Schizosaccharomyces pombe: one gene and its partners. The protein of the gene in region 1 interacts with the protein of each later gene in a pairwise test. Each region holds a gene or a part of one and is shown in the gene's direction. Other genes may lie near its edges.

Evidence for each region.
Region 2: the proteins of SPOM_SPBC15D4.08C (region 1) and sak1 interact in a two-hybrid assay, tested with the Schizosaccharomyces pombe proteins (one large-scale study listed by BioGRID).
Region 3: the proteins of SPOM_SPBC15D4.08C (region 1) and pil1 interact in a two-hybrid assay, tested with the Schizosaccharomyces pombe proteins (one large-scale study listed by BioGRID).

Annotation. Positions count from the first base shown.
Region 1 is NC_003423.3:3,025,120-3,027,690, reverse strand, and holds SPOM_SPBC15D4.08C (uncharacterized protein), read left to right. Parts: upstream 1-1,615; coding exon 1,616-2,032; downstream 2,033-2,571. Other genes in the region: met3 (cystathionine gamma-synthase), read left to right, coding at 1-1,250; autophagy-associated protein Atg9, read left to right, coding at 2,070-2,571.
Region 2 is NC_003424.3:3,146,341-3,151,451, reverse strand, and holds sak1 (DNA-binding transcription factor Sak1), read left to right. Parts: upstream 1-1,732; 5' UTR 1,733-1,944; coding exon 1,945-4,245; 3' UTR 4,246-4,504; downstream 4,505-5,111. Other genes in the region: tryptophan--tRNA (Trp) ligase Msw1, read right to left, coding at 1-126; rRNA processing protein Fcf2, read right to left, coding at 4,893-5,111. UniProt on the Schizosaccharomyces pombe protein: Positively regulates cyclic AMP-dependent protein kinase-mediated exit from the mitotic cell cycle.
Region 3 is NC_003421.2:346,789-351,735, forward strand, and holds pil1 (lipid binding protein Pil1), read left to right. Parts: upstream 1-1,770; 5' UTR 1,771-2,383; coding exon 2,384-3,439; 3' UTR 3,440-4,377; downstream 4,378-4,947. UniProt on the Schizosaccharomyces pombe protein: Negative regulator of cell wall integrity (CWI) in unstressed cells, probably by inhibiting protein kinase ksg1/ppk21 activity and regulating their downstream CWI pathways pck2-MAP kinase pathway and protein kinase gad8 pathway.

The DNA of each region.
Region 1 (2,571 bases):
GGTCTATTTCTCATCTCAAAAGTAAAAGCAGAAGCCGATATGCTTCCCATCCAGATCTACAGGCTTTGAATACTTGGATGACTAACGAAGGAAACCAAGCTAATGATGAAATGGAAGACGTATCCCTATATTTGGAGGAGAGATATGGGCGTAATTTAGATTTAAGTTTGGCTACAGCAGCTAAACTTGTTCTTCGACGACGTATCGCTGGTACCTTAAAAGATGAAGTTGATTTGCAAAAGGCTTTACCCAAAGAAGGGTCTCAGTATTTACGTGAAGTTAAAGGTTTAAGTCACGACGATGTTTTTTTATTTCCTACTGGCATGAGTGCTATTTACAATACTCATCGCATATTAAGGTTGGTGCTTGATGATAGCCGTAAAAGTGTTTGTTTTGGTTTTTGTTATGTTGATACCTTAAAAATTTTACAGAAATGGGGATCTGGCTGCTACTTTTATGGACTAGGTAATGACGAGCAACTTGATGAGTTTGAGAAACGGTTAGAAAGTGGAGAGAAAGTTATGGCATTGTTTTGTGAGTTTCCATCAAATCCTCTTTTAAACTCTCCCGATTTGGTTCGTATTCGGAAATTAGCAGACAGTTATGATTTTGCTGTCGTGGTTGATGAAACAATTGGAAATTTTGTCAACGTTGAGGTTTTACCATTAGCAGATGTAGTTGTCAGCAGCCTCACAAAGATTTTTAGCGGTGATAGTAATGTAATGGGAGGTAGTATGGTTTTAAATCCGTCAAGTCGTTACTACTCTCGAATAAAAGATGCTATGAAGGCTCTTTATGAAGACTTATTATATGATGAGGATGCTTTGACATTAGAAAGAAATAGCAGAGATTTTGCTGAACGTTCACAAGTGATAAACCATAACGCGGAAACAATTTGTAATTTGCTTTATCAAAACCCTAAAATTAAAACTCTATACTATCCCAAATACAATACATCAAAAGAGCATTTTGAAGCTTGCCGGAGAGAAAATGGAGGTTATGGTGGTCTTTTGTCTGTCGTTTTCCACAATCCTGAAGATGCGCGCCAATTTTACGACAAAATCCAAGTAGCAAAAGGTCCCTCACTTGGTACAAATTTTACGTTGGCTTCTCCCTATGCAATTTTAGCTCACTACCAAGAGTTGGATTGGGCTGGTGAGAATGGCATAGATAGAAACCTTGTTCGTGTCAGCGTTGGAATGGAACCCAGCGAACACCTGAAAAATGTTTTTATAAATGCTCTTTCATAACTTGTATCTAAACTGTTTTCAAATAATAGATATTTTTTAAAAACCCAATCATATAACTATAGTTATAGATGAAACTGTCATAGTTATTCTTGAAATTGTTGTTTTTTCTTTTTGGTATTACCTTAAATATATTTAAACAAAATAGAAAATATATGCCTGATGTGATAGGAAAATGTAGTAAAGATATGTTTTTCTAGCTATTTCGAATGTGAGAAATATTTTAGGAAGTTCATTGTCTAAATGTTTACTTCGGGAACAGATGCAACGAGGTACAATACGTTCGCTTGGGGTATGCTACTTTGTTCTCAACGCTCAGTAATAAAGTGCGCGCGCTAGAAATTCTTTTGGTGCAAACCAAAATCATAATGCCCGAATCGGCTCCTTCAACTCCTCCATCTGTAAATCGGAGGCATGAACCAGAAATGCTTTCAGAGTACCCCTCGCTGATGTTTGAACACTCATATTTGGCGTCACCCTCTAGTCCGATTGATCAGGTTCATGACGAACTCAAACACTCTCAGAAACGTCCAAGATTAACTAACGACGAAGAAACAATTCCAGAAGAAGATGACAGTACTGTTCGCCTTACAGACTCAGAGCTTGAAGATCCAGTTTCAAGCAACGAGTTGATTCAAACTTCATGTCACCTGCTCACAAGCGTGTTAACTCAGCTACAGACCAACTTAGATAAACTTAAAGATAGTCATCAAAAAGCATTACTTCGGATACAAGAACTAGAAAAAAAGGTCTCTGAATTAAGCAAAAATAATAAAGATTCATGAGAAAAACCCATATGCCAATTTGAGTGGAATTGCGATCATGTTTTATCAGCCGGCTCAAAACAAAAAGCAATATGACGATCTTGCTGATATAGAAGCTCAAAATAATGTTCCTAATACCCAAGAAGTTTTAGAGGCATGGCAAGAGTCTTTAGACAGTGATGAGGACGAGTCTTCGCCACTTGAGGAATCCAACGGCTTTACAATATCTGAACATGACGATTTCGTAAAAAGCGTTCCAAGAAAGAATAATCCAACGGATTTGCTGTATTCTGGAAAGCTTCTGGACTCAGACGAGCCTCCATCTGTTCATGGAAATTCTTCAAAAGTACCCTCGAAACACCCCAGTCCTTCCTTTCCTGAAACTACTTCTCTGAGGAACCTGCAAAATGGTTCAAAGCAAAAACCAGCACTCCCCAATTTTAACGATCCCCATTTTTATAATGAAGATGTCACTCGCTCTGGACATCCTAATCGATCTATTTATACTCAGCTTCCTCGTAACGAATTTTCCAACGCTCGCGTTCTTTGGAATCGTTTAA
Region 2 (5,111 bases), on another chromosome or scaffold:
TTGTAGTTGAACCCATTGCTTTAGAGATCCCAAATAATTGCCAATGTGAGGAATTCCAGTAGGCTGAATACCTGAAACAACTCTGCTATGTGGAAGGAGAGAAGTGATTTTTGGAAGTTTAGCCATTCTTTATTACTTTTTATTTAATTGGTTTATAAAGTGAACAAATAAATAAAGATAAAGAATAAATGTAATGAAAATAAAAAAAAACAGCTGTGTTATAATCCAACTGATTACAGCTCGCAGACAATTTTTTCAAAAAGGAACAAGGCCGTAGAAACGAATGCTACACTTATGACTAGGTCAGAATGAAAACAAGCAAAATATAGGAGGAATGTTCAATGACACGCAGATAAGACAACAGGATAGAAACTTTTCTTCTCTACCAAAGATAGTTGATAAATGGTATCAAAACGGGATTATTTTTTTGGTAAAATCAAGTAGCTAAAGTTCATAACCATACAATTAAAGCGTTGCAATACCTCAGAAACTGAGAAGATGCCTATAACAAAAAATGGGATAAGAAACCCAAACTATGGGAGGAAAAAAAAGATTAAAGGCGGAAAGTGATATTGTTAGAAAGTATGGAGAAAATCCTACAATGGTGGGTATTTGAATTCTTCATAAAAGAAGGATAGTTTACATGGAGCGAGTCATTGAATGAACTTTAAGCCGTTAAAAATCTACCGAAAATAGCTCGTTTAAGCGTGAGGTTATTTTTTTTTTATTTTTTAACGAATTTGTTACAAGTGTCCAGAAGTTCGTAAAACTTGAAGAGAGCAAGTAAATTTGTATAAACAAACATGTTTTTTAAAGTATAAAAACTTTGTAAATGATATTTAAGTTGGTGTAGAAATTTAATGTAAAAAAATTTTGGATGCTTTTTGTGTACGATAGATCGACTAAAAAAACATACAAGAATGCGCAGGTCATGCCATTCTTTTTTTTTCCATTAATTTATTCCATATTGACTCGCCATCCCCACTTTGCGGTAAATAAGCGCTGCAAAGTTTCTCGTTGATTTTTACTTTCCTCCCTCTACCACTCCTAAGAAGAAAAAGGAAATTTTTTGACTAAATAGTCATGATTTCAGCAATATTCTACTTGTGTTAGTGATGTTTTAGCAGTAGACAATGATTTTCAAAAAGCTCGAAAATACGGGTTTTCCGCAATACCCGCTACTATTTTGGTAGAAAAACAAGTCATTGTTAGTTCGTCGTTTTAAAAACGCTATCGTGAAAATGAAGATTCTTTTGAAAAGATAAAAGTCTTTTAAATCCGCAGAAAAAAGAAAAAAGAAATTAAACAGAAGAAGCTTGTATGGACTTTACTTCGGCTATTTGCATTCATTCTTCACCTCCTTATGATTGGTGTGTGTAAGCATGCAAGCGACTGCTTTGGTTTAGGTGCAATGAAATTCACTATTTCATTTAACGTTTCAATGGTTCAAGACTTCGCAACGACGAATAGGATCATGGATTGATATCGTAAATAACAATTAACAAGCCCGAAGGAGGTGGAAAGAAAAGCAATTTGATGTAAAATTAAGCTAGCGAAGAATTAAGAATGTAATCAAGCGCCCCACTGCAGTGCCGTGATTATCCTTGTCTTTTAAACACCGAAGTTTAAAATCCTTGCGCTTAACAAGCGATAGTGATCGACGGTGGAAACATTTTTTTTACGACCTCGAGGAGTTGGCGCTTTCTTTGCCCATAAGCATCTTCTTGTCTTCACCACACTTGAGCATTTCCGACTAGCCAAGGCTGGTCAATTTGCCCCTCAAATATTTTCTGAGGATTTAATAGTTACGACGTATAGAGGGTGCTTTTTAATTTTTGGTATCTTAAAAAAGGTTTGTATAGTACCGGTTGGATGTTGGCAAGTAGATAATTTTTTGTGGTAAATTTTTGCACTTCCGATAAACGTTCTGTCAGGCACAGGATTATGAATCCATCTGATTTACCAGGTCAAATACCTCTGTCTAGATCAGATATGAATGTCCAAGATCAATTGGACCCGGTTCAACGCTTTGATACTCATTTTATGCTTCCCCAGGAGGAGAATTTTTTGAATCGCCCCTCCATAACCTCCGAATCTGCACATCCACGAGGAAGTGATTTAGAGCAAGAGACAGAACTAAAAAGACTTGCGTTGGAACATGAACATTACTCTTTAGAGTCGCTAGCGGAAAAGCTGCGAATGGACCACGTAAGTGCCAATTCGGAAAAATTTCGCCAGGTTTTTGGCATATGTTGGTTAAAGCGTGCTTGTGAAGAACAACAAGATGCTGCTGTCCAACGAAATCAAATATACGCTCATTACGTCGAAATCTGTAACTCTTTGCATATCAAACCTCTAAATTCCGCTTCGTTTGGAAAACTGGTTCGTTTGCTCTTTCCTTCCATCAAAACCCGACGTTTAGGCATGCGTGGCCACTCAAAATACCATTATTGTGGTATTAAACTGCGTGGTCAAGACTCTTTTCGCAGACTACGTACCTTTTCAGATTCAAGTCTTTCCCCCGTTTCCTGTTCTTCGTTTCCCAAACCTATTCCCAATCATTTTGAAAACGATGTTTCTTCTATTCAAAACACAAATCAGCGTGTAGAAAGCAGCCCTGCATCGGTTAATGCTGCGGCTATAGTTAGAAAATCCGCTGTCACCCCTTCATCAGATCCTTACAATTCGCCTCCTCCTTCTATACCTTTGCTAGGAAGTCAAACCAATTTGCAATTGGCTCCTTCTTTTGCTGCTCCACAAGCCCATCCCCTACCTTCACATCTTTCACAATCCAATGTTCCGCCACAACTTTCTCATTCTTCGGTACCTTCACCTGCACCACCCCGTTCTGTGTCCCAACCGACCTATTTTTCTCAACCCATGCCTCAGTTTTCTTCTTCGTTTGTACCCGGTACTTCTTCGATAGTACCTACCTTGCATCCTGCTTCTGCACAAGAAGATTTTAATCTTCAACATTCCCTATTCTTCAAACTTAAACTTAAATTCTTGCCTCCTCATAAGCTTCCTTGGATCCCATCATTAGACGTGTCTTCATTTTCCTTACCTCCTATTGACTATTATTTAAATGGTCCATACGATAATGTCGAGGCGAAATCTGCATTAATGAACATTTATTCTTCGCATTGCATTACTCTAATTGAATCAGTCCGGTATATGCATCTCAAGCAATTTCTGTCCGAGATCTCTAACTTTCCCAATTCCCTCTCTCCTTCTCTTTTAGCTTTGCTGTCCTCTCCTTATTTCACGAAATGGATTGAGCGTTCTGATACCGTTATGTACAGGGAAATACTGAAGTTGCTATTCCCTATGACTCTTCAAGTGGTACCTCCGCCAGTCTTGGTGCTACTGCGTCATTTAGCTGAGAATCTCGTTAATCACATATCCAGCATATACGCTTCTCATTCATCTTGTCTTCTCCAAGTCAAATCTGAGACTGCCGCAATCTTTAGTAACTTATTGTCTCGTCTTTTGCGTGTCAACGATACGGCTCATGCTGCTGCTAGGTTCCTTGCCAACCCTGCCGACAGGCATTTAATTTGTAACGACTGGGAACGATTTGTCAGTACAAGATTTATTGTACATAGAGAATTAATGTGCAATGACAAAGAAGCAGTAGCCGCGTTGGATGAGTGGTATTCTATCCTTTCAACCTGTTCAAATCCTTCTGAGCTTTTAGACCCTTTGAAGGACAAACATGAAGCCAGTGATACATCAATGAACAGGGTCGAACTTCGACAAATTGATGGTGTTTTAGATCGTATGGCAGATTTTTTTCTGGAGTTGCCTTCCAGATTTCCCTCCTGCTCTCCTAGAATGTTTCTTCTATGCCTAGGCGCTTTACAAACTAGTGTGCTTCGTGAAATCACGGTCAGTGGAGGTGAAGCATTTGGGGCTCTTTGGGTAATTAGATGTTGGGTCGATGAATACATGACTTGGGTGGCAGAGATTGGCGGATACCTCGATGATAGTTATGATGAGCTGGAACAGCATCATGCTAACTTTCATAATAAAGCTGGAATATCTCAGAGTAATATCCCTCCTCATTTACAGGAGCACCGTCAATCCCAGCAACACTTCCAACAAGACATCGAAGCTTTGCAATCACAACAACAACAACAAGCCACTAAAAATTCCTTGATGGAAGCTGCCTACCAGAATGCTCAGAAGCAAAAGGAAGACGACTATATATCCATTGTATTTGATACAAATGGTGCTTGTAGTTGATGTACAATATAGTTGACCCTTTTTAGGGCTTCGAAAAAGCAAGCGTAATTACACTGACAAAAGTTAATATCATTCATATTATTGTTTTTGTTTTTTAATATATGTTTCTTTTGTTCAGGAGGTCTATTTGTTTAAGTCTGTGAACTTTTGAAATGCAATTAGATTACTATAATCCTGGCGCTTGTTTCTTATGGGTGAACGTCCATACATATACCAAATTGAAAGTGACTATACTTTATATTTGTTTTTTATTTCTTTTAAAATTTCACTGTCAGTAAATAGAGTTTCAACATTTTTGTCTTTAATTTTGATATCGACTATCACATATGTATTGATTAATATAAATGTTCTCCGATAACTATTTTATAAAACCTATTTAAACTATTGAGTGTAATTATTGCATTTCTCTGGCAGTAACAAGAATATTAAGCCCATACAAATGAGGAAATTGGCATCGATATCATTCAACAAGAATAGCGAACCCCCAAAAAAACAGCATCATACTAAAAGCGAACTTTCTACGAGAAACTTCGTGTTTAAAAAACAAGACTTCAAATAAAATGTTTAAATATTCCCCTTAAAGACCATATATTAAATTAAAAAAACGACAAAATAACTTAAACAACGGAAAATGGAAACATCAACCACTATTTCAAGTAAGAAGGTTTTCGGCGCTGCTGAAGTTTTTTATATTGCCCCTTCCGTCCACTCATTTTCGATTTTTGTAATTCTAGATATTTTTTCTTGAAGTACGATCGTCTTTCTGAATCGTGCAATAATTCGTCAACAATTGTCTCTTTGCGCTCTCGAGTGGGGATACGACTAGAGTAAAAGTCCTGAGGACCTTCAACGATGGAACCCACCTG
Region 3 (4,947 bases), on another chromosome or scaffold:
CCTTGCATTCTGCTACATTTACGTGGTAGCTTACTGTACTACATTGCACTCTACTGCACTGCTTGGCACCCTCTTAACTGTCTGTCCTGCTGCGCACTGCCTTTGCGCACCTTTCCCATACCTCGGCTATATGAGACACTAACTTTATCCAATAGACGATCGCTTCTTGCGGCGTTTGGTTATCGTGCGCGCGCACCGTAGGGAAAGGAGGGAAGCAAGGCAGCGGCGGCAGAGCAGGAGTCTAGTACAGTAAGGCAGCGAGGAGGGAAAAGAAGATTTCCCATATGTCGGGAAGAGAGATTTGAGAGAGGGAGAGAAGTACGGACGGTCGGAGGAGCAGGAGAGAGAAGAAGAGCCATGAAAAAGGAAGTGAAAGTAGAAGGGAACTAGTAGGAAAATAGTAGGGAAATAATAGAGGTATTCTTTTGTTTATTTCGTTTAATTTTATTTTATTTCGTTTTATTTTATTTCGAGTATTCTTTTGTTTATTTATTTTCTTTCGTTTTATTTTATTTCCTTTTGTCGCTCTTTTTTCTCTCTTCTCGTCGCTACTCTAGCATTTCTAGCTATTATCAGTACATCGCCATGCCATGTGCCATGCAATGTTATGCTATGCTATGCCATGCCATGCCCGTTACACTCCCGTGTTCCATTTGGTGCTCCATTCCCGTATTGCCAAAGATAGATATTTCCGTATTCACTCGATCCTCTTCATCTTCCGAATAAACTGATAAAATTGTTGCAAGTATCTAATACTCATTCATAGTCAGCGTCGGCATTTTCTTAAACTCGTTTACAATCATTTCTTCTGAATTCATCTAATTTCTTCTGAACTCATTTCATCTTTCTTTTCTTCATTCTTACTACACTCATATCCCGTTTCACTCACAACTCACTTCTTCACAATATCACTCACTCTCTTTCGCTACTTCTTTTCTCTCTCTCACTTTTCCATTTCTTGTCACCTCGTTCCTTGTTACCTACCCTTGTTGCCTCTAACTTTTACCTTTTCTCTATTCTATTCTCTTTTGTTTTAACCTTTTTTTTTATTTTTGTTTCATCCATATTTATCCATTTATATTATCTTTCTTTCTATATTTATCTTTATCGGTCCATTTATCTTTTGTTTTTTCTCTTGTCTCTCTCTCTCTCTCTCTTACCTTTCTTTCTCTTCTCTACTCTACTCTACTCTACTTTACACTACACTATTCTATCCTAAGCTACTCCATCCTCCTCTACACTATCCTATCCTATCCCATTCTCCTCTGTCCTATCCTCCTCCGTTTTATCCCCTCTATCTCTATTCATTTCTCTACTCTATTTCCTTTTTACCCACTTTGCCTTCCTCTGCTCTATCCTTCTTCAACACACCCATCGTCACTTCTCCCTCTTCTCTCTTTACCACATCCTACCACTCCCCGGCCTATTCATTCTTTTCACTCTCTTTCTTTCTTTCACAACGACGACGCGTTTGTTTACCCCATCGGCCCTTCAACACTCGCTGCCCCCCTCCCCTCCCCCTTCAGCTCCAGTTAACGCGGTGCGCCAAACGCATTGGTCAACATCGCTATCCAGAAAGAAATTCGGTTTTATATTATCGCGAATGGGAACGTCATGTTTACGTGATAGAAGGAATGGACATATCTATGGCAACTGTGGCCAGCAAGCTGACCAAATGATGTTTACCTACTCTTGTTCACTACGGCAAGTGATGATATCATTTTCCCACCTTAGCTTTGTATATATAGACTGGCTCGCTCATTTACCGATACACCTTTATCCATACTCACGTTTTCATTGACTTTAGTCAAAACTTTCTTTTCTTTTTTATCCTTTAACTATACTATACTTTATTATAGTATCCTTTCTCATACCATAGGATATAACATACCTTGGGATATATATATATATATAATCTTTTTTTTTTTTATATATACCCCATCACATTTTTGTTATACCCAGAGAATAGCCGCTAAGCAAAAGTTAAGCTAAGCTAAGTGAATTTGAAAGAAATCCAAAAGGAAAATTTCCTCGTTTTTCCCTTTCCCCAAAAAAAAATCCCGACTCCTTTCCATTTTTTCATATAGTCGACAAATTTTTTTATTTTTGGGCTTTTTTTATACACACTCTCTCTATCTAACTATCTATCCTATTTAACTATATACCCACGAAATTTCGTATCGCCCTTTGGTAAAGTGTTAAACATTTTTCGTCCTACTCTTTTTTTTTTACTTATAACTCGTCCTCTCTCTACTAAATTATTCTCACTATAATTGTTCTTATTAGTATCATCACATACTAATATACTACTACTACTACCACTTATTTTTATTATTACTACCATCTCTTCTTATTTACCCACATCTATTTCTATTTCTGCAAGATGATGAACCGTGCGTACTCTTTAAGAAACAGCCGTGCCCCTACGGCCTCACAATTGTTAAACCCCCCTCCTCCCTCCTCTTCCACTCGTAGTGGTCGTTTGTTTGCCCCCTTGAGTCATACCATGCGTATCAACCACGCTGCCACCTTCACCCCTGACTTGGCTAAGCGTTTGGCTGTCTTGGTCAAGATGGAAAAGAACGTGATGCGCAGTATGGAGGTCACCATCCGTGGCCGTCGTGATTGTGCTCGCCAACTTTCCTACTGGGGTGAGGACTGCGATGACGATATCAGCGACGTCACCGACAAATTGGGTGTCTTGTTTTACGAGATGGCCGAGTTGGAGAACTACTTGATCGATCGTTATGACCAATACCGTATGACGTTGAAGTCCATCCGTAACATCGAGTCCTCTGTCCAACCCTCTCGTGAGAAGAAGCAAAAGCTCTTGGATCAAATCTATGCTCTTAAGCATAAGGATCCTGAATCCCCTCGCTTGGTCACCATGGAGCAAGAGCTTGTTCGTGAGGAGGCTGCCTGTTTGGTTGCCGAGGCTCAACTTTCCAACACCACCCGTGAAAAGTTCAAGCAAGCCATGACCTTCAACTTGGATGCCCTCCACGAGCATGCCGAGAAGCTCAACCTCATTGCCACCTATGGCAGACATTTGTTGAACTTGATTGACGACACCCCCGTCACTCCCGGTGAGGCTCGTCCTGCCTACGATGGTTATGAGACTTCCCGCCAAATCGTCATGGATGCTGAGCACGCCTTGAGCTCTTGGGTTCCCAGCCAACCCGCCGTCAACTTTGTCAAGCCTCAAATCGAGGATGATGCCCAAAGTGACGCTCGTTCCTGGAACGAGTATGAGGCTCAAGGTGAGCCCGTCCCCGTTGAGCAAGTCACCCACTTACAAGACGACGTTCAATCCGACACTAGCGAGATCATTGAGAACGAGCCTGGCATGCACCCTCATGTCCATGCTGAGCGTATGTCTCGCATTGCTTCTGAGTCTAGCGATGCCGTTCCTCAGCAAACCGCCGTCCAGGTTGCTTAAAAAAACTCTTTACTTTTTTTCTATTTGTCGTCGTGGAGAGGGAAATTGCAGTGTCAAGCGAAAATAAAAAAGAAATTTCTTGAAAGCTTATCGTAATCCCATTTGGGCTTTTTCGTGACTTTTTCCTTTTTGGATGGATTGATGATCCCAGAAACAATCGTTACTGACAAACGATAATGGGTTTATGATATTCTTCCTTCGTTTGTCGACTCTTTTTTACTACTCTTTTCCCCAGGTCCTTGTTTGGTCATAATTTATTTTCTTTATTAAAGAATAATTGTATGTGTCATCTGGTTCCTTTCTCTCTTTTCTTTTGTCATAGAAGGAAGAAGGAAGGTGGTGTATGATTGAATTGCTTCGACGAAATTGGCGTTTAAAAAAAAAGACAGGCTAAAGGCATTGCAAATTCCACACCTCTCGTTTTTTATAAAGAGTTATGAAAAAATGATGCGGACGGATAAAAGTTTGTTGAAGGTGTGGTGGTATCTATCTATCTATCTATCTATATTCCCTTTGTGGACGGAATAGAGAAAGATTTGTTTGATTGAATGAAAGGGGTTAAAAAAACGTCAAAAGTTTTCAATATTTGTTGGTTGTGTTTTTGTTATCCATGGAAAAAAAATTTTTTAAACTGTCTTTTTTTCTCCCCTTTTTCCTTTTATTTTATTTTATTACAATCGTGGATATATGTTGCTTTGAGAATTCAATCGACCGAGAGTTTGATTGGTTTATTTTTTTCGTCAGTGACAGGTATGAGCTGAAAGAAAACTTAATTTAATAAGCTGGCGTGCGCGAAGGAGAGCATGTTAGACGGAAACCCTAGTTTGCTCATAGCTAAGAAACTGTTCAATTTTTACATAGTTATTATAAGGCGGAGATGTCGCAATTATTTTATTATTATACCTTTTATTATAATTATTATTTTATTTGTTTTTATATGTTGCTGCTATTGCTATCGGAGGAAGAAAAAGACTCTAGACTGGCTTGGCTTGGCTGGCTGGTGGTGTGAGAGGGGGAATTTGAAGAAAGTGTGTTTTGCTTTTAGTGGGTTTAGCGTAGCTATTATTTTGTTGGTAGTATGATGGATATTTGTGCCAGCTTGGCTAGTCTTTTGCACGTGAAGGATGATGTACTTCGTTGCAAAGAGCCTTTTTTTTTCTTTTTGAGGTAGGTAGATTTGATTAATCTTGAGAATAAGAAACCATAATATGATTGAGAAAAGATGGAAGGCGAGATGGGTAAATTGCAAGGGTAGAATAGTAAAGTGTATTATGAGTTGGAAGTTAGTTAGTATGTTATTATTATTAAGAAGTAATTATTAGAATTAGCAATGCAAGTAGTAGGAATCGATGTATTAGGAGGAGCAGAATTAGGAGTAATAAGCGAATACTTTAGAAGAGGAGTCAATGTCGAAAAAAGAGAAAACAAGGTAAATTATTAACGCCTTTCCAAAATTATTGTTTTACTTTTAATTTAGTTATACCAGAATTGAATCGAAGCTTATGCTA